Tribolium castaneum: one gene and its partner. The protein of the gene in region 2 purifies or fractionates together with the protein of the main gene of each other region. This does not show direct contact. Links are inferred from orthologs where the notes say so. Each region holds a gene or a part of one and is shown on either strand. Other genes may lie near its edges.

What was found.
Region 1: the proteins of GATA zinc finger domain-containing protein 1 (region 2) and PHD finger protein 12 purify together in Homo sapiens (affinity purification with mass spectrometry; 7 studies listed by BioGRID and IntAct, with this or other methods). This does not show direct contact. The link is inferred for Tribolium castaneum from reciprocal best matches to the Homo sapiens genes GATAD1 and PHF12.

The regions. Positions count from the first base shown.
Region 1 is NC_087401.1:17,004,257-17,020,772, forward strand, and holds the start of PHD finger protein 12, read left to right. Parts: upstream 1-8,652; 5' UTR 8,653-8,933; coding exon 8,934-8,981; intron 8,982-9,033; coding exon 9,034-9,224; intron 9,225-9,276; coding exon 9,277-9,530; intron 9,531-11,605; coding exon 11,606-11,853; intron 11,854-11,936; coding exon 11,937-12,450; intron 12,451-14,834; coding exon 14,835-15,337; intron 15,338-16,516. Other genes in the region: uncharacterized protein LOC103313307, read right to left, coding at 1,515-2,288, 3,989-4,366; bleomycin hydrolase, read left to right, coding at 4,712-4,721, 4,895-5,295, 5,348-5,485, 6,952-7,427, 7,480-7,600, 8,015-8,239.
Region 2 is NC_087396.1:8,742,083-8,758,831, reverse strand, and holds GATA zinc finger domain-containing protein 1, read right to left. Parts: upstream 8,327-16,749; 5' UTR 8,244-8,326; coding exon 7,893-8,243; intron 7,845-7,892; coding exon 7,658-7,844; intron 4,477-7,657; coding exon 4,292-4,476; 3' UTR 4,134-4,291; downstream 1-4,133. UniProt on the Homo sapiens protein: Component of some chromatin complex recruited to chromatin sites methylated 'Lys-4' of histone H3 (H3K4me), with a preference for trimethylated form (H3K4me3).

The DNA of each region.
Region 1 (16,516 bases), on a different chromosome or scaffold from region 2:
AATTTTGAAAATTGAAAAAATAAGAAAAAAAATGTTAACACCCACATTTATCATGCAGTAACTTCGTAGCAATTAGAGATAACCCTATGGAGCTTATTATCGTTGGAAAACTCTTTTAATTATCTAACTATTCCAAAAAAGATAATTGTTTCCGACTAACAGTTTTCAAATAAATTGCTCATAAAAGTAAAAATATATTAAATTTTAAAAAATTCATAACTAAAAAAATATTAGCAATTTGGCGATTTTCTCAACGCCAATCGATTCCTCGGATCATTTTGCATAGGTGAGGATCAAAACACTTTTTCGAATAGTTTAGTCGTAATTGGGAAAATAAGAAAAATAAAAAAAAATGTACCACCCACATTTATCATGTAATAACTTTCAAACTATTAGAGATAACCCTACGAAGCTTATTATCGTTGGAAAGCTCTTTAAACTATATATCTTTTTCAAAAAAGATCATTGTTGTCCGACTAATAGTTTTCGAATAAATTGCTCATAAAAGCAAAAATATGTAAAATTATAAAAATTCATAACTAAAAAACTATTGGGAATTTGACGATTTTCTCGTCGCCAATCGATTCCTCGAATCATTTTACATAAGCTAGAATCAAAATAGTTCCACTTTTTCGAATAGTTTTGACATAATTGAGAAAATAAAAAGAATAAAAAAAAAATTACACCCACATTTATCATGCAATAACTTCGTAACTATTAGAGATAACCCTACGAAGCATATTATCGTTGGAAAGCTCTTTAAATTATCTATCTTTTTCAAAAAAGATCATTGTTGTCCGACTAATAGTTTTCGAATAAATTGCTCATAAAAGCAAAAATTTGTAAAATTAAAAAAAACTCACAACTAAAAAACTATTGTGAATTTGACGATTTTCTCAACGCTAATCGATTCCTCGGATCATTTTACATGGGATAGAACCAATATAGTTCTACTTTTTCGAATAGTTTTGCCATAATTGAGAAAATAAGAAAAATAAAAAAATTTTTTACACCCATATTTATCATGCAATAACTTCGGAACCATTAGAGATAACCATATGAAACTTATTATCGTTGGAAAGCTCTTTTTCTAGGCTAATTTTGTGAGACTAATAGTTTTTGAAATATTGGGAAAATATACTTTTAGTACATACTGTGTATAAATCTGAATATCAAAAAAAATCGGTTGAAAATGGCAATAATTTAGCCATTTTAATCAAATTAAAACGAAGACACCGCTCATTTTAACCCAGTCAACTACACGCAACCTTAGCCACCTCCACAGCAAGTGACAAAATCCGATGAACGGCTAAAATTGATTAATTAAAAAAATGTGAAAATTGCGCCACAAAACGAAACATTCATTCATTTTTGATCTTTATCATTATCAGCAATGCTTCCACGAAATAACAAGTAGCTCGAGATAATTTCTTCCAACAAACAATAACTCAGTGTTGTCAATCAATTGTTATTTAAAAGTTGGCGCCAATTATTTCTTATTAAAAAAAAATAGTTCAATAATTTATATTTATAGTGAGATTACAATTGCTACAATTACTAACATTAATAACAAACGACGGATTTCCATTATTTTCCGTTTTAGTGATTTTAATATTTTGATCCGAGCTTGAAAAATCGCTCCCGTTGATAACAATCTCGTCTTTGCAGCGAGTTGTCGATAAATCGGCAACTTCACTACCGTTAATATTGTAGGAGATTTTATTCGCTTCGCTCGTATTATCCTCCACACTTGACATTTCGTCACTCAACACTTCTTCCTTAACATTTACCAACTCCTCAGGAGCATCGAGATTAACAACTTCACTACTAATAGTATTATTATTTTGAATAATCGGGGAAACCTTTGTGATGTTTTCATTAATACAGGGGAAATTCCACCGAGCTAGGCCGATGTTGGCCGACAACATTGCCGAAGTTTTGCGAAAGGCGCGTCCCGTGTAACCTTCGGCATTTTCCAAATTCAAATACTTGGCGATTCTGGAGGGAATTTCAAGGAATGTGTTTATGCCAACTGGTTGATTGTAACATCTGCCTTCATGATATCGCATGAAAAAACGCGAACAATCGACGGTTATTTTCGAGCGAAACTCGATGTATTTGCGCACTTTGTCTAAATGATCGGTGAGGACAAACATTCGGGGAATACCCGTATTTGAATCGGGGATTTTTACGATGAAAACATCGCCGGCTTCTTTCACGTTTTCCACTTTCATGTCGCACAGTTCGTGGTTGCGGCATGCGCCGGTGATTCCCATCAACATGGCGACCTGCAAGCGCAAACTTAACAAAAAAAAACAACAACAAAAATAGTTTTCGGTAAATAAATCTAACAGTAAATCTGAGAGCATTAAAACCGAAAAAGTATCAGAATGCAGTTTAAATTATCTATATTTTCGTAAAAACCCCAAGCCGCTCCGCGTAACAGTTCCGGCTACAGAGGCGATCAAAGTTTTTCAATAAAAAAATTCATAAAAAAAAACTAAAAGTCGTAGAGCACTGCGGTTTGTTCCATTGAATTCTACGGCTCATTTTACATATTATATCAATTTTTCACAGGAATTAAAAATTTAAAATTTTTTGCCTAAATTTAGGGTAGCCATTTGTCATAGTGGAAAATTTTATTCAATAAAAAAATTCATAACTCGAAAACTAAAAGTCGTAGAGCAACGCGGTTTGTTCCATTGGATTCAGCGGCTTTTTTTCTGTATTTTACCAACTTTTCACGAGATTTAAAATTTTCAAATTTTTTGCTCAAATTTCCTGAGTAATAAATTTGTGCCTACACCTTACCTTCAAAGTGATGAAAAAAAATTTTTTTTAAACTCACTTCAGCATATTTTTATGGACTTTTTTATGTCTTAACAACCCACAAAAGTTGTTAAAAGTCCACAAAAAGTCCATATGTTCAATTTTTGATGTTTGATTTTTTCAATTTTCGTCGCAAATTTTGTCGATTTTGGGTACCCGGAACTTTTGTCGAGCAATAGCTCCGGAACTATCAGAGATAACCCCATGAAGTGTATTACCGTTGGAAAGCTCTTTAAATTATTTATCTTTTTCAAAAAAAAATTAGTGTTTTCCGACTAACAGTTTTCGAGCAAATTAGAGTCAAATGAAAAAATTGGTAAAATTTAAAAAAATTCATAACTACAAAACTATTCCAAATTTGGCAATTTTCTCGATGCCAATCGATTCCCCGGATCATTTTGCATAAGTATGGATCAAAAGAGTTCCGCTTTTTCGAATAGTTTAGGCGTAAATAAGAAAATAAAAAAAAATAAAAAAAAGTTAACACCCCCCCCTTAAAATCGGTCAATTTTTAAAGTGTCTCTGAATCAAATAAAACCGATTCTATCTTATAGATTTTGATGTGCTCTTTCCGATCTAAAAAAGCGTTTTCTCCTAGCTCTTTTAGTTTGGCCGTAATCGGCGTTCGAAAGTTGAAAAAAAGTGAAAATAGAAACCTTTTTTTGCGTTTTTCTCGGAAACTGTAAGACTTAGAGCAACGAACAAAAAACCATCTGATAGCGCTTAATTTTATCTATTTTTTCGACCAAACCCGGAGCCGCTCCGGGCAACGGTACCGACTACAGAGGCGATTAAAATTTTTTACTAAAAAAATTCATAACTTAAAAACGATCAGGAATCTAGCGACTTTCTCAACGCCAGTCGATTCCCCGGATCATTTTACATAGACTAGGATCAAAATAGTTCCACTTTTTCAAATAGTTTTGTCGTAATTAAGAAATTAATAAAAAAATTGAAAAAAATTCGACTTGTGTATATGTACTCAAACTTTAAATTACCAGCCCTTGACGCAATTACTATTTGTTTTCATTGTATTTACGAAAAAATAAACAATAAAAAAAAACTGGCTCTCAGCAGGATACGAACCTACGACTTTTGAGTCACATTTGTCAACACATTAAATAAAAAGCGTAACAATTCAACGCCCTAAACCCATTACCTTCATAAGTAAATATTTCTCGTCAGGCGCCTGCTCCAAAAACTGGTTAATCATTTCCCTATTGAAAGTATTCGATTTTTTCGGCTTATACCCAGCATTTTGTCGCTTCAAAAACGCCCTCAATTTCAAATACTTGGAGATATCGATATTCTCATTGATAAAAATCGTCGTTTTCAGTATTGAATATTCACACCATTTGCTGGAAGGTGACCTCAGAATCGAATCCTTCTCCTGAAAGTACGCCAGAAGGAGAGCCTCCGAAACGGGAGCATTGTTCTTCGTCAAACACCAATCTTTAAACATTCTGTACGTGGTTTCGTAACGCTTTTTCGATTTTTCGGGCAATAAAGGCGGATTTGAAACGGACGTTTCTTCCATTTTTTTGACACTAATTAATCAACTTTTTGACAGTTTAACCAAACACTAGTGAAACAACATGGCCAGGCTGTCTAGAGGCTGTTTTCACTTTTATTACATGCGTTCGGAATGTGGGGAATGCTGCGCAGTGACTATTTATGTAACAAGTGGGATAAAGTCATTATAACATAACTGCGATAGGCCACACACTTTACACCAGTGTATTAATGATTGTGTGGTATTTTAAACAGTTTTTGTGCAAGGCAACGGTTGGCGATACTGTCGTTTGACAGTTGTAGAGGTGATAGGTTACAATTTGTAACAACTTGTACAGTTTTTTCGGTTTAATTCCCAATTTTTGATAACATGGATCCAAGTAAGTGCCCCCCAGTTTAAACCACACCTTTTCCACCTTTCGAAAATTGTCAATTGAAAATTTTCCTTTGATTTATTATAATTTTATGTAAAATCATTCTGACATGTCATAAATTCCCAGTCATTGTTTATTTTGGTCTTTGGGGATTAGAAATTCTCGTTTTTTATTTGCAGCTTTAAGCAAGGAGACTTTGGAGAAATTCCGTTCGAATTTCTTCTCAGACGAGAAGAATATTTTCGCTCAAAATGTGTGCTCACGTATTGACCCATTTGACGCCTGTCTTTCGCGTAAGGCCCTCGAGGAGACCCATCATGTGTACGAGCACAAGGTGGAGGCCGAAGGCAAGCCGGTCAGCAATCAAAAAAACTCAGGCCGGTGCTGGATTTTTGCAACGATGAATGTTATCAGACTGCCCTTTATGAAGCATTTAAATATTGATGATTTTGAATTTTCGCAAGCCTATCTGTTCTTCTGGGACAAGATCGAACGGTGTAATTTTTTTCTTAATAATATTGTCGAAACGGCCAAGCGGAACGAACCGGTGGAGGGACGTTTGGTGGCTTTTCTACTCAATGTAATTTTTTTTTTTTTAATTTTTTGGAAAAGATTTTTTGGGTTTTGTCTAGGATCCGATTTCGGACGGAGGCCAGTGGGATATGATTGTTAATTTGATCAATAAACATGGACTTATGCCCAAGAAGTGTTTTCCGGAGTCGTTCAGTTGCGAAACGAGCGCCAAAATGAATCAAATCCTCAAGACTAAAGTGAGTATAAACATTCAGAAAAGCTCGTTTTTTCTTATATTTTTGTTTTTTCATGGGTATGCCCTTTTTAGTGATTATGCCCTCTTTTCCATGATAATGCCCTCTATTTCATGATAATGCCCTCTAAACCATGATAATGCCCTCTAATCTCAGATTATGCCCCTTTTTTATTTTTTACGATTATGCCCTCTTTTTATTATTATGCCTTTTTTTCACAATTGCGACGTTTTTAGTAAATTTTGCCAGATTTTTATTTTCCAGATTGTGCCCCCTTTCCCCCGATTATGCCAATTTCTTTCCTGATAATGCCCGTTTTTGTTTAAGATCTTGAAAAATTTTTCAAAGATCCATATCTTTTATGATTGAAATAACCTCGATATGGAAAAAAATGTGTGACCTTTGTGTACAAATATGAATAATGTAAGATGTGTTAGAACATTTTTTTCTTTATTTTCAATTTTTTCTATTTTATTCGTTAATTTTAAATTTACAAAGTCAGAAATATTCTTTATTGTATACCTTATTGTATATTTTTTTACGTTCAAGGTTGGATTTTCTCAATTTCTCAAGGTTATAATGGAAAAAAAGTGATAAATATGCCAACTAATTAAAGATGGGAATAAGTTATAATATAAACTTATATTATTTTTTATAAAAAAATAGATACAAAGATTTAATAAGTACATGGAGGAATCTATTGCACGTTAAGACTTTATTAATTTCATATCTACAATTTCATCATTTTAAAATATAGTGTTTTTTTTTCGTAAGTACGTTATTTCCTCCCTCATTTTCCTTCCCAGGGAGGAAATAACGTAATTTCATGGTTGTTGGTTTTTCTAAATAATAGTAATAATAATTAATTGAAACTATACTTTAAGTTTTCTCTATCATTAGCCGTATTATTGCCATTGTTTTTTTTATCAGAGTAATGTAAAGGAAGAGTACTGATTATAGCGTCAAGGTGTTTTCTTTAATCATAGGAAATGAATTCTAAATAGAATATTTTAACGTCATTTTATCCTTGTGCGGTAATACATACAATATTTTTTATAAAATGTAGGAATTATTAACTGTCTAAATATGTAGAAATATACAGTTTTTTAACTTATTTTGTGATGAATAAATTGAAATTTTCAATTCATTTTATGTATTTATTTACAAAAATTACGTTTTTCCATATGGAACCAAGCGAAAAGAATAAAAAAATATAAATACAATGGGAATAAATAAATCTTTAAAAAGAAAAGTGTAAACAAAAATTAATATAGAAATGCAAATTCTTATTTTTTTCTCTTAACTGTAAGCTCAAAATGGGTAGTTAATTAGTTAAAAAATAACTAATTAATTTTAATTTTACTTGTTTTTTTTTTAATATTTTGGGTTGCTTTGAAACTGTAGTAACAAATATTGTTATTGCATTTGGTGGACGAGCCGCAGCCGAGTGCCTAATCCTCACATTTCAGTTGCGTGAATACGCGAAAACGATCCGAGACCTGATCGCCAAAGGCGAAGGCGACCTCAAAGTACAAAACGTAATACGCGAACAAATGAATACGATTTATCGTATTGTTGGCATTTGTTTGGGTGTGCCTGCTGAGACGTTCACTTTCACTTATTACGATAAGAACAAGACTTATCACAGCATTGGTCCAATAACACCTAAAGCGTTCTATGAAGAGCATGTGAAGCCTGTTTTCGATGTCGATAATAAAGTGTGCATAGTTACCGATCCGCGACCGTCTAACCAATACGGTAAAGTATACACAGTGGATTGTCTGGGGAATGTTGTGGGTGGACGTCCCTGTATATACAACAATCAACCCGTTGAACTTTTACTCGATGCCACGGCCAAGTCGATTAAAGATGGCGAGGCAGTGTGGTTTGGGTGTGAGGTTATGAAACGATTCGCCGGAAAACAGGGGATTTTAGATTTGAAAATGTAGGTTTTTTTTTGGTTGGTTGGGTTTGTGGTTATGGTTTTTTGGTTTTAGTCATAATTTTCCGTTGGTTTTTGGTGTGGATATTCAGACGATTTTGAGTAAAGCCGATAGATTGATTTATGGAGACAGTGCCATGTCACATGCGATGGTTTTCACCGCTGTGAGCTTGAACGTAAGTAGATTTTTATGTTGGCAGTGTTGCCACCTCAAACAAATATTTTTGATCACCCGGTAGATTGTATTCACACCGATATTTTTCCTGTTGGCAACACTTAATCACCAGAGATTTGGTGATTTTAGTGCTAATTTGCTTAAAATCGATAGGTTTTTACTTTTATTCGAGTATTTTAGTGCGTTTTTCCTTTACAAACGTAAATTTTTTATTAAAAGCCACAAAATTTCGCCAAAAATGCAGTTTTTCCAAGTCTAAACCATAAACTAAACCTTGGAAAATAACTAAAATAGAAATCTAGGAGCTTTTCAGCTCGGATCTAGTAGGCATGATTGTGAGCTGGCAGCACTGGACATGGCCAACTTAGAGCACAATTTTGACCAGACTCATTATTTTTTATTGTTTTTCTGACAGGAAAAAGATGAAGTGACGAAATTGCGTGTGGAAAATTCATGGGGTGAAGATCGTGGCGAAAAAGGCTACTTGATTATGAGTACTGACTGGTTCAAGGAGTACGTTTTTGAAGTGGTGGTTGATAAAAAGTATGTTCCTGTTGATGTTCTTGAAGTTTTTAAACAAAAACCGATCGTCTTGCCAGCTTGGGACCCCATGGGAACACTTGCCAATGTTTCATGTTAATTTGTATTTTTTGCTCCAATAAAATTTTGTGGCAATAAGTCAGTGTTTTATTTATACGGCGATACAAAGATAATATCTGTTTCAAAACTACAAAATTAACTGTCACTTGTCAATTAGTTTTTTCTTCTAACTAGTGGGCTTTTTTGGCACTAAACTGATCACCAGAGCCCGATTTGAACATAGAAAGTTTTTAGTTGTGACATACATGACCCCAAGAAATGTAAATGCGCCATTGCTTTTTTATAGTTTTGAAATAGCAAGTACATTAGGGAAGAGATTTTTTATTGGAATAATATCTCGCGATTGAAACTTGTGGTTGGAAACAAAGTCCGTGACTAATTCAATAATTAATTAATTCAGTTTTTGTAAAAATAATTAATTATTCGTGTGAATGAAGGGAATATTTGATAATGGCGCTGCTCGGTCGGTAAGTCGGTAAAAGTGACAGCTCGCGGCAAACACTGTCAAAAACCTGCCAAACGTTTTATAAATAAGCGTAAAAATTCAAGTGTTATTAATGAATTTATCTCAACCGATTGATCGTTTCGCCCCCATTTCACCGTCATCATAACCAAATTGCAGTTTTCAGTGCCATTCATATTTTCCCCCAACCATGTAACCAAAACCGAAAAAACCAAACTCGAGTGAGTGAAAAACCACTCAGTTCATTCCCACGCCACCGTTCTCCTCAGCAATGGCTTCAATCGAGTACGATTTGGACACATCTGGGGGTCTCATGGACGTAAGTCGCGCAAAATGGCGGATTTCCGCAGCCTTTGTGTGCGCTTTTGCAGCAAATCCAGGCTCTGATCGCGCCCCCGCAGTCCGAGGACACGAAATCGCGCAAGGGGGCCACCGCCACGGAGCACCCGTACTTCAAGCGGCCGGGAAAGGGGCACAACCACGACAGTTGCGACGCGTGCGGCGAAGGGGGCGATTTGATTTGCTGTGACAAGTGTCCGTCGAGTTTTCATCTGCAGTGCCAGTAACACGGGGACGCCCCGGTTTGTGGTTTTGGCTAAACGGTTGCGTTTCAGTGATCCCCCATTGGAGGAGAAGGATATACCGAGTGGAGAGTGGTTGTGTCACAGTTGTAAATATGCAAAAAAGAGCAATGCGCCCCAAACGAGGAACAAACGCTCGGCGTCCACGCCGGCGGGGAAAGCCCCCAAAAAGGCGAAAGTCAGTCCGATGGATTTGTTAATTCAGGCTGCGAGTTCAATGAATCCCAAGCAGTTTGATTTGCCCAGGAGTATGAGTGTACCGTGCATTTTTCCAGGGACTGATAAAGGTTTGTTCAGGTTGTTTTGTTCTTTTTTTCCATGAGATCAATTTTTTTTTTGATTTTTTTTTGTTGTTTAAATTCAACAAGGAATCAATTTTTGACACGGCCTGCTCTAATTCAGTTCATTTTCGATCACATGTTATAATTTTACAGCGTCAAGTTATAAAAAGTCTTTAGATCAACTCTTGCTGTGGAATTTAGATTGCTAGATTTTTATTGTCTTTGATAGATTATCGTTTTATTCTGTTGAAGTGTCAAACGTGCTACTTGCACGTATATAGTAACCGAAGAAATCAACATACCTTCAAAATTTCACAGCAAGAGTTGATCTAAAGTCTTTTTGAACGCATTATATAATATTACAGGATTTTTGTCAAAATAAAAACCACTAAACTCGCAGTTAAAAAAATAAAATCGCTTCAGACTGTTAGAAAATTAACAATTTTGTAGAAGTTATTTGATTTTTGATGATTTCTGGCTCAAAAATATCGAAACCAGGTGTTGGAAATTTAAAATCGCTTTATTCTATCCAACAAAACAACGTGATTTATTTGAAAACATTTTATTTTTTAAGATTTCTGCCTTAAAACGACGAAAATCGTAGTCAAAAATATAAAATCGCTTAAACAGTTTGGAAGAAAACGATTCATTTTGGACAATTTCTTGCTTAGAAACGTAGAGAATTGGTTGAAAACTCCGCATTTCGAACGATTCTTTGCTCAAAAAAAAAAAAATTCATAAAACTGGCTAAAAAAAACGGTTTATGTATTAGTTTGGAAGAAAACGATTAATTTTGGACAATTTCTTGTTTAAAAATGAGAAAACTCTGAGAATTGTCTGAAAACGGCTTATTTTACCTGAAAACGATATTTATGTTATAGTTTAGATAAAAATAAAAATTTGAGATAACGTTTTTGTTTTTTGATTTTCGATAATTTTTTGCTTAAAACGTTATCACCTATTGTCTAAGACCTAAAATGGCTTTATTCTGATGAAGAAAATAACAATTTGGGCATTAATTTAACGGAAAACATATAATTTCGGATTATTTCTTTTTCTCTAAAATGACAAATAATAATAATAATAATAATAAAAGCCTTTATTCAAGAAAAGAATGTGAGAAGGCAAAGTTTAGCTAACCTCTCACAAAACAAAACAAAAACATACATTTTTCAAAATAAATTAAAAAACCAAAACTAAAAATAAATGCGAAAAGAAAAACTTAAAATATTAATATTAGAAAATAATATAATTTTTAAATAATAGTAAAAGAAAAAATATGTGTCCTGAATACTTTGAAAAAAATAATAATAATAAAAATAAAGATACAAAATGAAAACAAAACAACAAAAGAATAATTATTCAATTAATAAAAAATTTAACTTTATTGCCTTGCTGCAGAAATTTTTTATTCGATTATTAATACGAGAAAAAAGGGTGCAGTTCAAAAGGGTTTCCCAAATTTTTGTACAATTGGCTTATTGTTTAAACTTGTTAAAAATTTAATTGATTGATTTTTCTATAAAAAAAAATATGTTCAAATCGCATAACTTTCTGAAGGTCTTAGCAACAATATAGCACATAAAATTGAAGAAAAAATTTCGTCTCATTTGAAAATAAAATGAAAAAAAAATTTTTTTTGCTCATTTTTTTCTGTAAGACAATGATTTCTTCTAGGAACAACATCCATAAAATAAAAAATTGAGTTAAGTTGTTACATAATTATAAGCCACTCTGAAAACATGGATTAAACAAGACTGTTACGTTTCACTTAGTAAAATCAATGTTGCAATTATTATAACAGCCTGTTTTATTGATTTCATTTTCATTTTTAATTTACTCTTTTTTCTAATCGATTTACTTAAATAATTTATTCAGCAGATTCTATTGTGTACTCGTTTCGTAAAACTCATTTGTAATTCAGCGTTTAAAATTCAGTAGTCACAAGTAAACGTCGATTATTGATTTAGTTTTGTCTTTGTCTTTCCGTCTGGTAATAAATACAAAATATTTTGCTAGAATTTTAACTTTAATTTTTGTACTTTTGTAGGCGTTTTAAATGTTGTATCTAATTTTTTCAGTCGAAGCCCCATATTCTCGCAACGGCCGCAAAAGCATGAAAGTCCACAAAGACCACGAGAAAAAACAAGATGCTACAATTTTCCTTCCAGCAAAGAAATGCCACGAATGTCGCAAATCTTGCCGTGTAGCTCCGCTAATATCGTGCGACTTTTGCTCCCTATACTTTCACATGGATTGCTTAGATCCACCGCTAACAACGCCACCTAGCGGCCGCTGGATGTGCCCGAATCACGTCGAACACTATCTCGTAAGTTTTCGGCAAAAAATATAAGTTGTCCGATTTTAAAAACAAGTTTCTAAAACACCCTGAGTTATTATTTGTTTTGTTAGGACTCTAAACTGTTGACTTCGATTTCGGCCACCGAACGCATCAAACTGTGGGATAAATTCAACGGTCCCGTCGATCAAGACGCCATACGTTTGGAGTTTTTTCGTAAAATTCACAGTAAAAATCCGCCGTTTCGTGTAAAAATTAAATTGGCGTCGAAAAATCGCGTTAAAGTACCGGCAATGGTCAAATATCATTATCGTAAACCGGTGAAATTGTTGCCGAGTTTGAAGGATGTCTTGCGGTTAGAGAGTGTGTTAAACAATCGAGAGCAGATGGTTGAGGACGCTGTTAAGTGTGAAGATGTTGAAGTTGTACAAAGTTTGTGTAACGGTCCGGAGGATCAAACGTGTGATAAAAGTACAGATGAAAATACGAATAATACTCAAGAGGACGACACAAAGGAGGATTTTTGTCGAAATGGTTGTATTAAAAATGAGGTAATGAATGGGGCAACGGTTGACCAAAAGGACAATATTTTTTTGCCGGACGTCGTCTCGGATATTACGAACGAAGGTGAGTTAACAATTCATTCAGAAATAAATAAAATGCACTGACCTTTTATGCCGAAGTCCCGTCTTAAACGCACCCACTGAAATAAAAATAAGGAAATTAGAACAATGTGCCATTAAATTATCGTTGTTTAGATTTTTTACTTTGGCTAGGGACATTTAATAGGTTGGTATCGCCGTCGTTGCTATGGAAACGGTTATTTTTTCTGTCCTGTTACCAACCCATTAGCAAAAACAACTTGTTTGGAAAGCAGTTTACTTCATGCAGCACTCGCTGCGCTCGTGGAGCAAACAAGGTGCTCATGTGATTGCACTTTCCAAACTCGTTGCGAAATTTTTCTAAAAATAATTGCAGACGAACCGTTTAATCCGGATTGTGTGCTTCTTTTCTCCCTTAAAATCTAATCCATTAGCACACACTAACACAAACCACTTTAAATCGTAGTAAATTTTGATTTAATTTAAGACGCGTCCGTTCGCGACAACAGCCCGTAACAAACTGATAAATGAAACGGCACTAAATAGGGAGAAAACGTCACCCACAAAAAATATAATCTGGGAGATAACTTACTTGAGAGAGGTGGGAAACAAATAGGCTTGAGTGAGTCATTGTTTTTTGTTGCGACTTCGACACTTATTGTGGCTGTTTTTTTGAAGGTCATCTCTTAAGCAAATAATTTTAGCGAGGTTTTTAAATATTCGTTATTTCGTTATTCTAAAAATTAAAGTAAAACCATTTTAACGAGAGAAATTTTTGTGTTTCTAACTAAAAGGGCGACCTGATTTCTTGCTAAAATAATTACATTTATTCTGAAAAATATTCCAAAGCGTTCAATGGAAACAAAAATTATGTGGACCTAATTTTTATTTTAGTAGAATTTCGCCAGAAAAACTGTGTTACTGGCCTAAAAATAAAACTATGTTCGGTCAAATAATTTTATTATTTTTCGGGTAATTTTTGACGAAATTTTACAAACTTATCGTGTTTTTAACCAAAAATTGTGGTGTTTCTAGCTCAAGTAGACAAAAATGCTTGAAAAAGTTACATAATTATATTTATTTCGGTTAACACATATCATGAGTTTTCCGGTAAGATGTTATGGAATAATCGTATTTTTTATTAAAGATTGTGTTAAAATGTTCTAATAGTGCAAAAATAATGTACTCGCTTGTGTATAAAAAAATTCTAGCATCTCGAAAATTTTGCTACACAAAAAAAAACGTTGCAAGAAAAATTTCCACAAAAAGGCAATTCCAAACAGAAAATCGAACTTTGGATTCGAAGTTATCAGAAAATTCTGCATAAGGATCAGTTTTAGAAAGTGCAATTTCCCACATGAGCACTTTGTTTGGTCCACGAGCGTAGCGAGTGCTGCATGAAAAAAATGTTTCTTACAAAATGATTTTTCTATTTTTCTTATGTGTTTAATTCCTCTATAATTTTGTTAAATAGAATTAGATATTTTTTTATTATTATATTTTGTATTATTTTATTATTTTTCTGTTTTTTTCCATTTATTGTCTGGGCCAAAACCTTGATCAGCTTTGCTGCCTTTTAGTCCAATTTGTGGTAAGAATAACTTGTAGAAAATTTTAATTTTGTTATCGTATTATTTTTTCTTGTAACTATTTTACTGCCATAAATAAATTATTATTATTATTATTATTATTATTATTATTATTATAAAGTGCGAATATGGGAAATTGCTTTACAAACAAGTAAGGTACAATATTTTTTGTAACAAATCTCTCAAAAAAATTTAATAAAAATTAATATTTTTTATAATTTAGTGTTTATTCCTAATGTGTTGGTAACAGGACAAACAATCAAAAATTTGGCAAGAACTGTCACTTATCGTAAAAAAATAACCGTTTCCATCTCAACGATAGCGACACCAACCTATTAAATGTCCCCAGCCATTGTTGCAAAGTAAAAAACAACACAATGAGTACAAAAAAATTTGAGTAAAAACTCAAAATACTCGAAGATAACAATAACCATTTTCGGTGTTTATTCCAACAAAATTTCGATTGCAAATTTTGCTAAAATTTTAACTTGTATTTAAAGAAATTACGTTTATAGCTCACATTAAATTTGTGCTAGAAATCGCACGAAAAAAGCAAAGTATTAACACTGTTTTACCCCAAATTTTGTGGTTTTCTGGCTTACTTTTACAAAAAAGGCTAAAATAACAACAATTTCGCTCAAATGTAATGATTTTGATCCAATTTTGGTGAATTTTTGCAAAAAAAAAAACACCACAATCAATTTTATGACAATCAAGCAAATTCTGAAACGTAACCATGGCAACAGTTCATTGCCAACCCGAAAATCGGTTCAAATCAAGTAGGTTTGAACGTGCTAACTGTCATTAATTTTTTGTCCAGTTGAAGTCGAATTGAAGCAATTAGACGACCGATTGGTGAAACTCCTCGCTTATCAGCGCATCCAGCACCTGCTCAACCAGCCGAACAATTCCGCCAACTTAAATTTGTATCTACCGTCGAATTTGCAGAGCAAATTACGTCACATGCCTATGCCGAGTGAATTGTTGACGCCTGCCGATATCGAACGAATATCGCGCGTTTTTTCCAGTCCGAAGAAGAAAATCAAGCCGAAGTCGGCGCTTCGCGCACGTGCTATGATGTGTCCGGTGGTTTCCCCACATTTCTACAATGTGCGCACGTCCGAAGTCAGTCCGAACGATGTGCGACACGACGATAGTTTTCTCGGATTTAGGCCGACGGTTTCGGCGAGATATCCCGAAGCGGTGGCGATGAGATACCGGGTGTTGAATGTGGGGAAAGGATCGTCCAATGATGTCGATTTGGAACGGTTTGGACATTGCAATAACATATCGGCAAGGCATGCGATCATTTTCTACGATGAGGTGAGTTTTTCTAGGGAATTAGGCGAAGGAAAGTTGGTACACTCGTTTGTTATACAAGACGATAAAATTTTATTTTATCTTCCACAGCGGTCAAGAAATTCAACAATCAAAAGAACGTCAAAAACAGAAAAACAATTAAAAAAAAAACAAAAACAAGTAAACAGTGGATAAAATACCATTTTATCGTTCACTATGAAATAAAAGTTTTATCGGACTTGTCTTTCGAGAATTTCGCATTAATTATTATTATTTATTAGTGTTGAAAAATGAGTTCTTAATTTAAAAAAATCTACTCAAAAACAGTTGAAAAAAGGCAAAAATAACAAAGAAATAAAAAGAAATTGAATTAAAACGACTCGTAGCGCTTTTAAGCAGTTCATTATCTGCTACTGAACAAAATTTTGTGATAATCGAGCCAAAATTTTGCAAATAATATCCGAATAAAACAACTTGGTCAAAATTCTTACTTACCTACCAACAATAAAAAAATCGTCAAAATTACAATAACCAAAAATGTGTGTTAATAGTATGGTTTTTGGACGTAAAATTGTCTGAGGATTCCAAATCTGTTTTCATTTTTACTGTACGAATAGTAGTTTTGAAGATAATCAACGAAATAGGGTCGATTTTAATTTTTGCAATCAACAAAAAAATTAAAAAAAAAAATAAAGAGAAATTGGCCTAAAACGACTCGCAGCGCTTTTAAGCAGTCCATTATCTTTTACTGAACAAAATTTCGTGATAATCGAACCAAAAATGGGCAAATAATAGTCGAATAAAACAACTTGGTCAAAATTCTTACTTGCCTACCAACAATAAAAAAATCGTCAAAATTGCAATAACCAAAAATGTATGTTAATAGAATGGTTTCTGGACGTAAAATTGTCTGAGGATTCTAAATCTGTTTTCATTTTTACTGTAAGAGTAGTAGTTTTGAAGATAATCAACGAAAATGGTCGATTTTAATTTTTGCAAACAAAAAAATAAAAAAAATTAAATAAACAGAAATTGGTCTAAAACGACTAACAACGCTTTTAGGCAGTTTATTATCTGTTACTAAACAAAATTTCATCATAATCGAGCCAAAAATGCGCAAATAATATTCGAATAAAACAACTTGGTCAAAATTCTTACTTGCCTACCAACAATAAAAAAATCGTCAAAATTGCAATAACCAAA
Region 2 (16,749 bases):
GCCCCCGAGAACTCTTAAGATGATTTGTTCATACTTTTATACATATCTCAAAAAATAAACCACGGAGCAGTACCAAACAAAAAGCAAAATGATTAGAAATTAATTCGCCACTAAACTACACATTTTTATTTAGTATTGAATTCATTTTTATGATCTGCTGATCTTATTTGGGTACCAAACGCAAGATACTGGACAGATCGGAAAAAATACACCATTCATGCACAACATCATTGTAAATATGCATGCAAAAATTGAACCCAATACTGGCAATGGCAAGGAAAAAACAACCTTTAGAAAAATTTCTTTGAGAATGAGATTTTTTAAAACTTACCGCTTTCAAAATTTATTTGCCAGTTGGAGGCGCCACAATGGTTTTCGGTTGAAAATTATTGTCGATTTTGAGACATGTATAAAAGGAAAGAAAGGTAAAAACATATATTTTTTTGATTTGACATTTTGATATTGACAGTTTTCGGGGAGCGCCTTAATTACAAATTTTTAATAAGTGGTATCTGGCAACGTTGTTTTACAATCGTAATCGCAATAAAATTTGATTAACAATAAAAAAATATCATATTTGAAACGGTTTTCTAGAAAATGTACCAGTGTTGGCACATATACAATTTGATCAATAATGGTTGTTCATCAACTCGGCATTAGGATTTAAATTCAGTGTGCCGCTTCATCCAAATGATGACTCTTGTAGTAAATAGTTAAGTACTGTCATGTCTGTCAAATAATTGAATTAGCTTTTTATTCATTTTTTGCATTTTTCGGCAAATTTGTTTGAAACGGAGGGTTTGCCTTGATTTGTGTTTTATATTTCCATGTTTTTTTTGTTATGTAGTCTTTCGTTTTTAGATTTGAAGTCTTTTGTAGTATTATGACGAATCTGTCACCTTGACGGCATACACATTTCAATTACACAGCACACCACGTTTAAATTTTATAGGTGATTTGATGAACAACCATTCTGGAACACATTGTACAATCATTTTTAATTTTTTGATAAATTTTATTTTTTTTAAGTTAAAAAAACTGCTAGGGATAATAGTAAATTTAAAATTAATCATTTATCATTGTGTTAGGGAATGATTATACCGGATGCTCAAAAATCGGCGCACCAACTTAACGGAGTGTGGTGGAGAATTGCCTACAAATAAAGGTGAAAATACAAATACGTTTGTAGCTCCAGAGTTTTTTAAATATGGCTTTAGTAATTTGTTCAAGAATTTTCCCGAGATCTACACATGCTTCTCAACAACGTACCGCTAAGTTGTTGCCCCAGTTTTTGAGCAGCCTGTATTTAGCGCGAAACATAAAAACATTAAAATTAATGAACTGAAAAATTTAACAGAATAAATTTGGACCTACAAATTTTTTTAAATACGACTAGAAATGTTTTCAAGATTTTTTTCTTAATCTACACATGCTTCTCACAACGTACGATTGCGGATAAAAGTCTTCATACATCACTTTTTTTAATCAAAAGCAAATTGATGTAAATAATGCTTTGTCATTGTGATTAACATCAATCAGTAATTGACAAAATAAAAATGCTGTTAGTTTCGTATTTAATAAAGTAAGATCCCAAAGTGATATGCCGCATGGACAAAATGACACAACTCTAGGTCTTCCTCGTGCGACAGTGTCTTCGATATTGAACAAATGGAATTGTTTGTCAAAATGACAAGAATCAAAAGCTATGATCAAAAGTGTAGTTATTTCTATTGGCCCAAGACTTTTGTCCGCCATTGTACCACTGAGCTGGTGCATACTATATTATAACATATTGCTAAATTTTTAAATTCATCAAGTCTAAAGCTTGGAATACTATACAGCCATCACTTTTTGGTCACTTTATACGCAGAATAATAATCAGTAATTTATGATAATTTCTTATAATTAAATATAATACAGGCTGTTCTATATTTGTAAATAAGCTGAAGGTTTACAGGTGTCCCGGCGCATTCACCATTTACATATTTTTGTTGTAATATTTAGTTTATTTAACGGCATATTCAGCCAAAGCTTTTGTACTATTACGTGGTGGTACACGCAATGTCAAACTATACAAAAATATACAAAAACACCAGGTCGTGGATTATTCTGAGTGTTGTCAAGTTTGTCTTGACGGTTTTGCTAAAATTTATTTATGGGTTATCAATATCATTATTATAAATATAAAACAATAATGTTTATTCAATTAATATTTTAAAAATAAAATTAAATGCAGTATCCAAGTGCTAATAAGTGTAATTAGAATTTTTGGTTTCATCTTAAGACGTAACTTTTAAATAATTCATTCTTTATTAAAAAAATACTTCTGTATGTAATTACAGCAAAACAAAGTAATAAAAAATTCTCCGGCTACACCATTAAATTCTACACAAAAAGTGGGTGAATAATGTCTTCGTTTCAAATTTCAAATAACTAGATATCTTTAATACACCTAAAAGGAAGATTTGAATTTTTTAATAATTCGCCAATATCTATTGTAATGAATTTGTATTAGAAATACGTGTCTTAACTTTAATAGGTAACAGAGCTCAACAAATAAAACATCTTTTTGATTTGTAATTTTTCAATATAAAATTCGCAAATATACTTAAAATTTGGAAAAAGATAACGTACTGAAACTTGTACCCACCTATGGGTACAAAAATAAAGAGTCAGACTATTTTCGTTGTGAAACGGACAATTTAAATAATTTAAAGCAACAATGAAAACTGTTGCTATGAATACAAAGTAATTGTTAAAAACTGACCGGCTCGTTTGCATAAAAAAAGGAGGAAAACAGTAAAAATTACAAATTTTGCAAAACTTTATATAGAAAAGTTGTTGTATTTGAGGAGTTTTATTACGTAGTAAAATTAACACACATATTTCTGATATTGATTCTACGTCGAAAAAAAGGAAAATTTTTTGGTCTTCGGCAATTGTTCTGCCCGGTTCTTCTACGAACCGCATTAGTTTTTCACAGAGTTAATATTTTTCGATAAAATTTGGCCAGTAGGTGCCCCTCGGCCGTATTAAGAATCCTATTATTTTTGGGGCTAATTGATCGCCGGAAACGCCTGATCTCACCCAAAATGTAAAAACCTTCCAAGTGCGTCTTGCGTCGACGGTTTACTGTAGACCACGTCCTCCTTAATGAAATGTATGAATATCCCGCCTGGGCATTTCGTAAAAAATTCATTGAAACAGTGATTCCTTAATTCCGCGCGTTTTTTTAAATTAAAAAAACTACTAAAATCTGATAGTAAATTTAAAAATAATTATTCATCGATTTGTTACAGAACGATTACCTGGTATGAAACATAAAAACATAAAAAAATAATGAAAACTAAAGAAGTTTACACAATAAGTTTGTAGCTCCAGATTTTTAAAAATATAACTTTTTCACATTTTTCCCGTAATCTGCACTTGCTTCTCAATAACGTACCACTGAGTTGGTGCGCCAGTTTTTGAGCAGCCTGTATGGATATTTTGATAAAAATCTATAATAATACATACGCAATTATGAAATGTGCATACATATTTTCAATGTTCATTTCATAATAGTTCGTCAACTTCTGTGGTCAACTGCTAAAAGTGTCAAGTTATTAATGAGCTGTCAACAATGACAATTTTTAAACGCAAGTACAACGAACCAACTAAACCAATGCAACTAACAAAATCTTGACAGGAAGGATACAACAAAACAAGATATACAAAGAATATTTTGAAGTTTTGAAAAATAATTTACCGTCAAAAGCAGCATGTGTCAAATATTCCGCCCGAATTGAAGCTCGATTGGGAATCACTTGAACTTGACAAATGCCCAGGCGAGATAAAGTGTCATTTTATAAAGCCGGCGATGCTGTAGACGGTCGAGTGAATAGTCATCTTGTATATCTTTTATATAGTTTTAAATCACCTAATATATGACTATAATTATGACTCCTTACAATACAATTTTAAAACAATTTAAAATTTCCAAACTTTTATCCATTTTGGATAATTACAAAAAAATTATCCATCACAAAATAAAATAAAAAACAGATTTAGTGAAATTTAGAAAAATTTTTTCAGACCAACGTCTCATTTATGTTCAGTTTTATTGTCTACATTGTCGCCAAATACAGTAATAGTTATATGTACTTGTATAAATTTATTTAAACAGAAAAAACAAGAGTAATCAGTGTGTTAATACAATATATGTAAAAAGTAGTAAAAGAATCACGTAGTTTGTAATACACAGAAAATAATACGTGATAAAGCAAAAAGCAAAACATCCACAAAATTTTTGTCAGTTGTTTTGTAATGGGTTTCCACACAATCTTCTTATCGACTCCAGTGACGTCCATATATACCCAGGTTGTGCAGGAGCATGCACAGCCGGATAGGGCGTATTTTTCGACTTGTAATAATCAGAGGGGGCGTGCATTACAAATTCCATGCACTCTAACTTCCTAGGGACATCTTCTTCTGGACCTGAAATTAAAATTAACAAAAGAGATCAAGATTGCTCTGGTAACTTAATGATGTGTGTTTTGTCAATCTGTCAGATTTTTAAACATGTGTCCTGTATTAAATATACAGGTGAGTCTGAATTCCATCATACTCTGTAAAAACTGGAGTGTAGAAACCGGAAACGTAGTTTAAAATTGCAAACGCGTAAAATCAAATTTCTCTTAATTCCATCCCTAACGCGACACTTCTGATAAATCAAATCATGAATAGCCGCAAAACGCTTTAAATGAGAGGTACTACTATCTTACAGTTTTTAATTGTTCCATTCTTTTAAATGTAGTTACCAGTACTCGTCTTTTGTGCTTAAATTTTACATCGGGTTTTTGCCTTCATATGGACGCATCGTCCAAAATCAAATTTTCGTGATTGTGCGAAATAGTGTGACGACTCTCCACTTTACGGGGTATGATGGAATTCAAACTCACCCTATATTATTAACCAAAACCAAAACTTCTAAAACAAACTAGCGGTTAGTATTGTCAGCAGTCTGTCAATAAAAATATTTACTTATCCGTAATTTTGTTATTTACGCATGACTTGTTAGCTGTTTCAAACTGTATCAAACCCCAACGACGCATTTTCTTTCAATATTAGCTGTTATACATTATTCATGCACTTCAAAAAATAATAGCTAATGTAATTTATACTTTCAATAAGAGATCTTATCATTAATGACTATTTTACAATTTTATTTAAAAACAATATTTCGGTAAAATGCGACGTTGATGTTTTTATAGTTTTGAAACAATTGTTAGCTGTAACTCCAAAGCTGCCAAACTCCAACGTCGCATTTACTCTCAAAATTAGTTAGTTAGTTATAAATACAGGCTGGGGCGCGACTGGGGTACTTCGAAAAACCTACAAAAACGCAACCCAGTATACACTAAACTGTTAACACTTGATACAATATTCAATTTAATTCAAACTAGTAATCCAAGTATGTTGTTGAAAACTTTAAGATGACAGATGAATGACAGTTAATCAAATTAGACCAATTAAACGATTTATTTATTGCAAAAATCAGTATAATAGATCTTCAAATTGCTGACCGCCTACACGTATATATGTATCGAGTCTGTTAAAAAATGATTGACGGGCGCGTCGTAAAGTTGCTGACGTAATAGCTCTGCATTTATGAATCCGATTTTTAAGATCTTAAACATTTTGAATTGGTGCTTCGTATACTTTCTCTTTTACTGCACCCCACAAAAGCGCAACGGTGTTAAATCTGGACTTTTGGAAAGCCAAATATTGTTAGATCCTCATCCTATCCAGCGATTTTCAAAATTTTGATTTAAATAATTTCTAACAATTCTGTAGTAGCGTGGCGGAGCACCATCTTGTTGCAATTACAAACTTTGCCGAGTACTAAGGTCCAAGTTTTCTAGCAATAAAGGTAATTCCATTTCGAAAAAATGACGACACATTTTCCCATCAATGAAATGGGGTCGAATTATGTGCTCACTAATAATACTGCACCATACGTTAACTGAAAAAATAGTCTGGAAATGGGTTTCACGAATTATTACTAAATCTAACCTCATCAATAAATAAAATTTTGTCGAAAAAAATTTTCATCAAAATTTAATTTTTCTGAGATTTTTCTGGATAGTCTCACTGGTTTGGGTTCTTGTACCAAACTAATGTGGTAAGGATGAAATTTATTAGCACGCAAAATCCGTCCTACTGATTTTCGGCTTATTCGACCTTGTCTTGCTAAAGCCCTTTGGCTGATTGAATTTTCGTCCACTTCCTGAAGAACTCTTACTTCGTTGTCTGGATCAGTAACTGTTCTCGTTCGAATTTTCTTGTGAGGAAGCCACACTTGACGTCATTTTGTTTGTTCTCTATTTGAATATCTTTGTAAATAAAGATCTGCAGCAGCTATTACATTCTTGCGACATTCGCCATAGATGAGGATCATGTCTGTTTTTTCGTCATTTGAATAATAATGCGTCATATTTAAAATCGAAATAAAACTGATTATAAACAACGATGATTGACAACTATGAACATTTTTGACGTTATTGACGTTTTTAAGATAAAGCATTCTTTGGCTTAAATTTTAACTTCAAATAATATTAAAACATAGACAGCGACGAAAGATGTTTTAAAAGTTGCGGATAAAAAGATTTCAGAAATACCCCACTCGGACCCCACCCTGTATTCAAAAAATTAATAGCTCATGTAATTTATAGTTTCAATGAGAAATCTAATCATTAATAACTATTTTATTAGCTGTTTCAAAACTACGAAAACGCCAACGACGCATTTTACCGAATTATTTTTTTTAAATCAGATTGATAAAACTGTAAAATAGTTATTAATGATCAGATCTCTCATTGAAAGTATAAATTACATTAGCTAATATTTTTTGAAGTGCCTGAATAATTTATAACAGCTAATTTTAAGAGAAAATGCGACGTTGTCGTTTTTATAGTTTTGAGACAGCTATTATCCATTCACGATTGTTTTAAACTCACAGCAGGCGTAGATGATATATTTTTGTTAGGTTGGTCTCAGGTCCTGTCAGGTGCTGTCTTTATGACGTTCACTTTTTAAAATTTCACTTTGTTGTCAGTTCTACTGCTTGTTAATTTAAAATGCCGAAAGTAATTTCTGTTGCTAAGAAAGCGTGTATCAAAAGATGCTTTAAAGAATACAAGACGGACAGATCGATCTTTTTTATACAATAATATATATTTATATAATAATAATTTATTTAAAAAACGAAGCAAACTGACAACAGTGCTTGGTTGTCATCAATTATACAGACTGATCCAGAAATACTGAGTCTGTTGGCAACACATTTGAAAATATTTGTGCTCGTAATTTGCAACACTGTAACCGAATTCGATTTCTCTTGACAATTATTTGACGTATAACCCCACAAGAATGTTAAATTGTTGTTAACTGGAAGAGTACTCCATTGGTATCCTTAAAAATTTAAGTACAGTGTTGCCAACAGACTCAGTATTTCTGGATCAGTCTGTATTATAACCCAAAATAAATTTCTTACGACAACTCACAGTACTGCCAAATAAAACGTCAGATTTTCATAGATAGTCCGAATTTGAAACAATCGTGAATAGTGTATAATAATAAGTTCTTACTATTTTCACAGCCCTCTTGACCACCTTACCTATTATGTAAGTAGCAGGATCAAAACCTTCCTCAGGTGGTGGACTCTCTTGTGTAGGCAAAAGCCACGTAATCACAGCACTTTTTTCGCAATACTGATCCGTTAACAACCCTTTAATTTGGGCATAAAAAATATCACCATCCTCATCTAGCATTGAAACAATATCACCCACTTGAATATAACTTCCCTAAAAACAACTACACAATGTCTTGCTATCGTAGTAAATAATACTCACTTTATAAAAAATCGATTCAGAAGTGATTGTTGTGGCCACAGCAGAGGGTGCTTTAATTGGCGTCTTCTTAAAAATGCCTCTTCTGCCTCTCCCCTTCGGCGTCCCAATTTTAGGAATCGCGAAAGGGTTTAACCTCGTTTTATACGACCTGGTAGTCCGCTGTTTGCGTTTGATGGATTTTGAGTCTTCCGATTTATCATCGTTTTCCTCTTCTTGTTCCGATTTGAGGTTATCTTTCGCTTCGTTAACACAGTCCAAGCAGATTGCCCCCAGGTTTTCGGCGTTGGTCCATAGTGGAGATTCACTTGTTTCGCACTTGAGGCACACGGGAGCAGAGCCTTTAAGGGGCATCTTACCACTTTGAAACTGAGGTTATGTTGTTGGACAAACGTCAATTTCAAGGTCAGCAACTTTTCGAGAAATCAGAAAATTAATATTTGTAGTCCTGGTGCAAAAATAATATAAAACATTTAAAGCAACAAGTAAACAATGATAATGTTTAATTAGTGATAGCATTTCTATTTTTAAAATTTGTTAATTGTTGGTTGCATAAGATACAGACGTATTTTTGGTTCCTTAATTCATTTTTATTTTTTCAAGATTTCTTTCAAGAAAACAAGCTGCAGCATAGGTGGTAGGTCATGGAATCATGAAAATAAAATATCGTTCCTCTTCATGATTTACAATTCTGACTATTAAAGTTATTTATTTGTGAATTAAATTAGGGCACAGTAATAATTTAATAAATGATAAGAGAGTTTGTATTTATTGTTTGTTGAAACCATTTCTGCAATCTGAATTTAGGAGAGTAATTAATTATTAATTTGATAATGTCCAAACAAGCGGGTTCAAGTGACGTAATCAGCATATGTTTATTTAATCATTAGAATTTAATGTCTCATAAAAGCAAGTCAAGATCATAAGAAATGTTTTATTCATAAATACTCATATTAATGATTCTTGAATCTTCCAGTCGCATTAATTCAATTCAAAAACAATTCTTGTTATTTTTCAATATTGTTCACGGAAACTAACACAATATTTAATATAAAAATGTTAGATTTCACCGGTGTTTCACCGTATTTCTGTAATAATAAAAGAATAAATAAATCACTCCCTTATCTTGATCTATTTGCACAAAACTTTACAGTCACATCAAAATAATTTATTATCCTATTATTTTACACATCTACATATGACATCGAAATTTTCGCTACCTTAAACTTAAATATATGTATTTCCATTCCCAGGGCTATTAACATAGGTAAATTATAACTGACGCAATTAGTTGTGGAGTAAGTTCGAGCCAGTGTAAACCAGAGATTTTTCAAGAATGTAAAAATCTAGTTCTGCTGTTGCCCTGCCTTGGTGCCGGGTCTCCCATTTATGAAACACGTGCGTGTACAATATCGTTGTTAATTTTAAGCGTGGGACAGTTTTGTCAACACATTCCAAATAATTAATCAACTTAATTCTTCGAGATGGATACGCGGACATCCGTTGATTATTTAAATTATAAGCACTTGAGTAATTAAGGGTGACGCAAGCACCAGTAGCGTATGTATTTTTTTGAAGGGAATTTGTAGGTTTGCTATTAGAAAAACGGATTTTATCTTGAGTCAATATTAAATAGTAAATTTAAGTTGTAGAAAGATAGGTGCTATTTATAGACTAAGTGACGCCGCGCTTGATCCAGGGACAGGTGGGACGATTTGGTGAATTTATTAAATAAGTAGATGTACAAATTATGGCAATAAATTTATTAATGAGGTTATATCAATGTAAAAACATTCGCTTATTTGCTTCCTGCGAAGTTCTTTGGAGATCTGTGCTCGTTTTAACAAAAATTCGTAGAATACAGCAACAAATATGAATAGATACGTTTTTAATTTAGATCTTACTAGTAAATTAATATATGAAAAATCTATTTTTGTCTTATATTTTTAATATGAATTTTATTTCATATTGCATAACACAATAAGACATAAGACGTCAAAAATTCTTGTTTAATTTTAATGAACTAAACACCAAAAGGATTATTTTATTAAAGTATTATTTAAAAACTAGAAAATCAATAAAGGGTTATACAAATTTACAAAATTTTAAAATACTTTTTAAATTAATACTTATTTATTATTAGTATTATACACTGAACAGAAAACGCAATAAACCTAGTAGTTTTATTAATAAAATAGTACCCAACGTTATGAGTAAGTAAATGGATTTATCAAAAACATGTAGAAACACTATTTTCCACTATATTTAACAATTATTATTTTTTATGTTTAAGCTTTAATTAATGGTATAATTAGAAATTTGTAATTACTATTTTCGTCGTAGGTATTTAAATAAATATCTACGTCGAAATAATTAAAATCTAAATAAAAGTTGCTCTTCAAATGGAAATGAAGATTTGACAATACTTTTCATTCCACCAAAAATTGAGACATAAAAAAACATTCATGCATTAAATTCTTGTAAAACAAATGTAAAAACAAACCATTACTGTGCTGATGTCGGAGTGACATAGGATTATAACTTGGGTTCAACTTGCAAACTCTAATGGAAACTGGATCAAAGACGTAAATGAAATTTGTTTTTTGGGTTGCATCGCCAGGTAGTTGGGCTCATAATCTTAACTGAATCGCCCTGTATATACTATTTTATCTCTTTTTCCCACATTCCCAAGAAGCTCTTACATCAACAGGGTGTAACGCCGGAAATCAGTTAGCTGTGGCAGTTCTGTGCATCAGTAGACAAAACCTTTGCAGCTCTCCTACAAGTGAATGGAAGATAAAACAAATAGTAACAAGGTTGTGCTTCGCTTACCCTGGTCTGCGACGCTGCACTGACCCTTCGGGCCATTTCTTATTCTGGCCCTGTAGGCCCTCGTTATCTGATTACTATTTGCTACCTTTTAATTTGCTTGGATTTTTGCGAAAACCGATGTGTGATGTGAGTTGTTAATCTGCATTTACTCGATGTGAAAAGGAGGAACTGCACAGTATTGAATCATTGAATCAATTTTTAAAATATTTTGGGAATCGCAACCTTTGATAAATTGAATTGAATTGAATCAAGTGGATTTACCAAGTCTGACAAATTAAATTATCTGACATTGACATTTACGTCGTCTGCTACTTTTTGATTAAAAATGCAGTTTTTATTTGATAACATGAAAACGGTACAAGCGCAGACGTCCAAATTTGACCACTTAAGAGCTCTCCTAAGGACCTACAAGATGACTATTTGTTTGACTGTCTACAGTAAACCGTTGACGCAAGATCGCACTTGGAAGGTTTTTACATTTTGGGTAAGATCAGGTGTTTTTGACGACCGATTAGCCCAAAAAAACAATAAGGTTATTAACACGGCCGTGGGGCACCTATTGGTCAAAATTCATCATCGAAAAATGTTAACTCTGTGAAAAGTTATCGCGGTTCTCAGAAGAACCGTACAGAACGATCGCAAAAACACCAAAAAATTTCACTTTTTTTTCGAGGAAGAATCGATTGGTATACTCTACCAAGCGAATTAGTGAAGATTGACTAAAGCAATATTTCATGATAACAATATTGTTGGGGACAAAAAATAGTTAGTCTGCGCTAAAATGCAAATTAGATACGGGGCCTCTAAGCCGAAGCAAGCCCGAAGAAACCTTAATTTAAAAAGCTAAAAAAGTCAATTATTTATTTTTCTATTAAAAAAAATTACGTTCAAATCGCATGAAAAAAATATGGTAACTTTCTGAAGACCTTAGTAACAACATACATAAATTTGAAAAAAAATAGTAGCATTTTAAAATAAAATAAAAAAACTCATTTTTCTAGCCTTTTTAAATTCTTCGACCCCTAATATGAGACACTTGAAAACTGACTGAAATGGACACAGATGTGCAAATATAGTGAGAAGAAATGAAATCAGAATGATTTTACTGTGCCCTTTGTTGAGCATGGAAAACCTAAAGGAATTTTTTAATTTGTTTTCAGTTATTTTTTATTTTGAAAAAATGATAATTTGGTTCAAGAAAAACAGGTATTTAGTTTTCTCATGTTTATTTTTTAATCGAATCGTTGAGTCGTTGCTGCGTATTCCTGATGTAAATAAATATATCCCTCCTTCAGAAAACGTTTACGCCCAATAAAAAATTTCAAATTAAAAAAAGTAATCTTTTTAATATGTAAATTCTATCTACAGGGTGATTCAAATAAGATAAAGAGCCTGACGATCTGACGATGCAACCCAAAAAACAAATTCCATCTACGTCTTGATCTAATTTTTAATTAGGATTTGCATTTGCAATCCAAGTTATCTTATGTTGCTGACAGTGCTTGACAAGCTTTAACATCGGTGCTAGTCATTATTGTCACATTGTACTCTGCATTGCTGTTGCTGCAATGAATTTGTTTGCCCAACGTTTCCCAAATAGACAACATCCTAGAGACATGGTCGTTAAACGTCCTGAGTGGGAACTTTGAAGAAATTGGCCTCTTTGTGAAAAAAGAAAACACACTGCTAGGACTTTGGAAAATGAAGTTCGTTTAATAGCTTACATAACACAGAACCAAGAGGAATTAGTCAGACTTCAGTTCGTCCTTCTGAGAAAAAATAAATTTCCTACCTATCATGTTCAGCTAGTACGAGAACTTAGGAAAACTGAATTTGAACACAGATTAGAGTTTTGTCTCTTCATCAGAACATAAATACAAGTTGGCAACAACTTACTTCAGAAACTTTTTTTGTGATGAAGCCCAATTTTATAACAATGATAGTGCACAACAGTCATTACTATGCTCAAAAAAATTCACTGTAGATAAGTGAAACACATTTTCAATAAATTGTTTTGGTGAATGTTTAGTGTGGCATCTCGCATCTTCGTGTATCGTATAATCGGGCCATTTTTCTTCCAAGAAAAACAAGCAGGAGGCCAGCATTTTGAACACATTTTTCGCTAAAAGTCAATTTTTTGTCTCCGTGTTTATTGTTGCAATTTATGATTTTGGAAAAACTGATTACCTACCTTTAATGTTTCATTCTTTCATACTTATTTTATTGTAGTTTATACATCGAAAAGACTTTTCTACTTTCTCTATCATTCCGCGAAAATTGAATGGCAATAATGATCGTTCTCTGCGCTAAAGTCAAAGTGACATAAGTTGATAACTTGGATTCAACTTGTAAATCCTAATTTAAATTGAATCAAAGGCGTAAATGAAATGTGTTTTTTGGGTTGCCTCGCCAGATCGTCAGGCTCATTATTTTATCTGAATCGGCCCGTATTTTCCCAACTTTAAAGTCTAAAATAAATCCAACAAACGAACACCACTGATGGCATTTAATCAAAGACTATTATTCGAACAAGAAACAAGATAGGAAAAATTTAATACTAGCTTTTGAATTCTGGTGGTTACCTTTAGCGATGGCGGTGGACTTACCACGCTGTATTTGAATAGTTATTTATTTAACGAGTTTGAGTGTAAATCGGACGGTTTATTTCACGAGTGGATTATCAAACCACGAGTGAAAACGACTGGTTTATCATCCACGAGGTAAAATAAATGAACCAATTTACAAGAAAACGAGTTAAAATCTGTAAATCTGTTAAAAATAATCTGAAGTTTCGTATTAAGAAATGCCAAACAGTTGTCAAAACTGTCTTACACAGAAGAAAAACTGGAAATTTTGACAATGACGAAGAATAATAAATTTTAAAACATTTATCAATTTGCACCCTGCTCCATATTTTTCAAAACGCTGCGAATACGGTTACAGCTACAAGGAAAATGTTAGGAAGAAATTGTAGAAATTTAAATTTCCTATAAAATAAATGTACTACAGGCTGTCTCAGCTAAGACTTTCGAGTTTAATATCTCAGTTATTTGTCAACCGATTGTTATGAAATTTTAAATGCACATATTTTAGGAGGCAAAAAATGAACACAAGTTAAAAAATGAAATTTTGAAACACATTTCTTTTATTTAAATTAAGCCAAATTACCGTTGGATCATTAAACCCCAAAAAGTAAATGGCCACACAAAAAATTAACCAAATCGCTCGGCTGATCCAAGAAAAAAATAAAAATTTGTTGTTAAAAGCTTAATCCAAATTTTGTTAGTAATTTGGCCAGTCACCCTTTGAAACAATTGATGAAACATTTCTATGCGGTATTTTATGTACCACTGAAAAAAACTGTCAAAAGTGTGCGCGCTGTCAAAAAAGAACAATTGTTTTCGTTTGGTGAAATTACTTTAAAAACCAACAACAGTCGCTGAAATTTGTGTGTTGTTGAAAAAGGGATCAATGTTCGCCTATGGAAAGTGTCGTTGGACTTTTTGTGAAATGTTATTTATGAAATTTAAGGTTCAAAGAATCGTCATTAATTTGAAGACACAGGAAGCGTACCTGAACTAATCGAGTGAGGACAAAACACGTCTCTGGAAACGAAGCAATAGTTGGGGCTGTAATTCAAGCTTTTGAAGAGAATCAATCCAACTAGCAGTGTACGAAACATTTCCAAAGTTCTGAATGTTCAAATGTTTAGAATTTTTCAGTTGTTGTTCAGTCTTTTAGTCTTTTTGGAAGAATTAAAGCATCCAGTACCAAAAGTAAGTCAAAAATATTGTTTTTTAGTTTTGTATGGGTGAGAGATAATTGTGAAATGTCCCTTGCGTGACAGTTACGTTTCTGCGAGTAGGATTGACCAAAATTCAATGGTAGTGCTCATTTGTTTCATAAAGATTTACACTTTTGCATCTGTACCCACGTTTAACAGTTTGTTTTCTCATTTTTCTTGCGAAACACGAACGAGTTTTTTCTAACAGCATTTTTCACTGACGATCAATTTTTTAATATGTCTTAAAAGGCTTAACATTTTAAAAAGGCATGTAAAAATTACCTTTTCAAGACTTGAGTTGTTGCATTAATTGGATTTTAATCTGTATCTTCTAAAATATCTGCATTTTAAATTTCATAAAAATCCGTTGACAAATATCTGAGATATCAGGCTCGAAAGTCTTAGCTGAGCCACCCTGTATAAATATGCGTATGGTGGTAATGTCATCACCCAAGTGCCAGGGTTTTCAGGTCGCATCTACAGCCTCTGACCTGACCTAACGACAACTAGTAGTGACCGGGACCGACGGCTTATCGTCTCCTCCGAAAGACGAGTTAGTTGCTATGTTTTGGCATTACATTATCTGGTCACCCATCCAAGGAATGACCGGGGTGGCATGGCACAGTCATGTATATATTTTAGAGAGATTTGGTCGTTAAAAAAACATTTTAAGCTAAGAAAATACAGCTTTGTTCAAGATAAATGTAGAATTAACAGCAAATTCTAACAATTCACTGCCAGCAGCTATTCCGGGCATTGTTGCCGGCAGCTATTCCGGATATTGTTGTCGATAGCTTGAATGCGTGCCGTTGCCGGCAGCGGAGTCTCTGCCTAATTTAAATCAAAGCCAGCTTTGATATAAATTGTAAATGCCATCAAAGTGACAGATCCGTCAAAATAATGCAAAAGAGCTTCGCATTTAAAAACGAAAGCATACACAATAAAAATCACAAAAATATAAAACACAAATCAACTCAAACAATTTTGTCGAAAAATGTAAAAAAGAAGTGAGCTAAAAACTAGTTCAAAGATTTGAAAGAGATGTCAGTAATCAGAAACTAAACTATAAAAATCATTTAGATGAAGCGTGCCGAAGCGGCGCATTGAATTTGAATTCCATAGTCGACTTAAAAAACAGCAATTTTTGATCACACTTTTGTATTAACGTCGTCTCCATTTTTTTTTTAATATTTAAGACCGAATTTTTAGCAATACTGCAAGAGAGAGCAGTCTGCCTTATTGACCAACCGTCGTCTACTTTAAAAATAATTCCCGTTATAACCAAATTGCTAATAATATAATCCACGATATTTTTGATTATTCTAGGTTTTTTCGACCATTAGTATCAAGCTTAAAACATCAGATCAAAGTCTCTTTTATTATTCAAAATTTTATCGAAAATTTGCTACAAGACTTGTTCTATTGAATGAAGGCAGCCCCCGGAACTGTCAAAACCAAACTGTCAAATTAAAAAATGTGTTTTCACCTTTTTCTATTTTATACATACATATCCTAAAATCGACAACAATTTTCAACCGAAAACCATTGTGGCGCCTCCAACTGGCAAATAAATTTTGAAAGTGGTAAGTTTTAAAAAATCTCATTCTCAAAGAAATTTTTCTAAAGGTTGTTTTTTCCTTGCTATTGCCAGTATTGGGTTCAATTTTTGCATACATATTTACAATTATGTTGTGCATGAATGATGTATTTTTTTCCGATCTGTGCAGTATCTTGCGTTTGGCACCCAAGTCTCAGATCAGCAGACCATGAAAATGAATTCAATACTAAATAAAAATGTGCAGTTTTGTGGGAAATTAATTTCTAAAAATTTTGCTTTTAGTTTGGTACTGCTCCGTGGTCTATTTTTTGAGATATGTATAAAAGTATGAACACATCATTTTGACATTTCGAGGGGGCCGCCTTAATTAATCTTTTCCATCAAAACTTATTACTTTTTGTATTTTTTGTTGTATAAACTTTTTTCCAGATAATTATTCATTCCTGTTTTGTAGGTCTTATTGCGGTTTTTTTATATGCCCACAAACTCACACATGTTAATTTTACTTTTTTTTATAAGTGTGTTACTAAAATCTAATAGGATATTACTACCTTATTCTCTCAAACATTAAAAGATTACAATACACTCGAATACGTGCGATTTGCGAATCAGCGATGATGAGCTTCAAAGCGGGAAAAAGCCTAGTTAATTGTGTTATACAAATATTTTATTTACGTGAATATTAT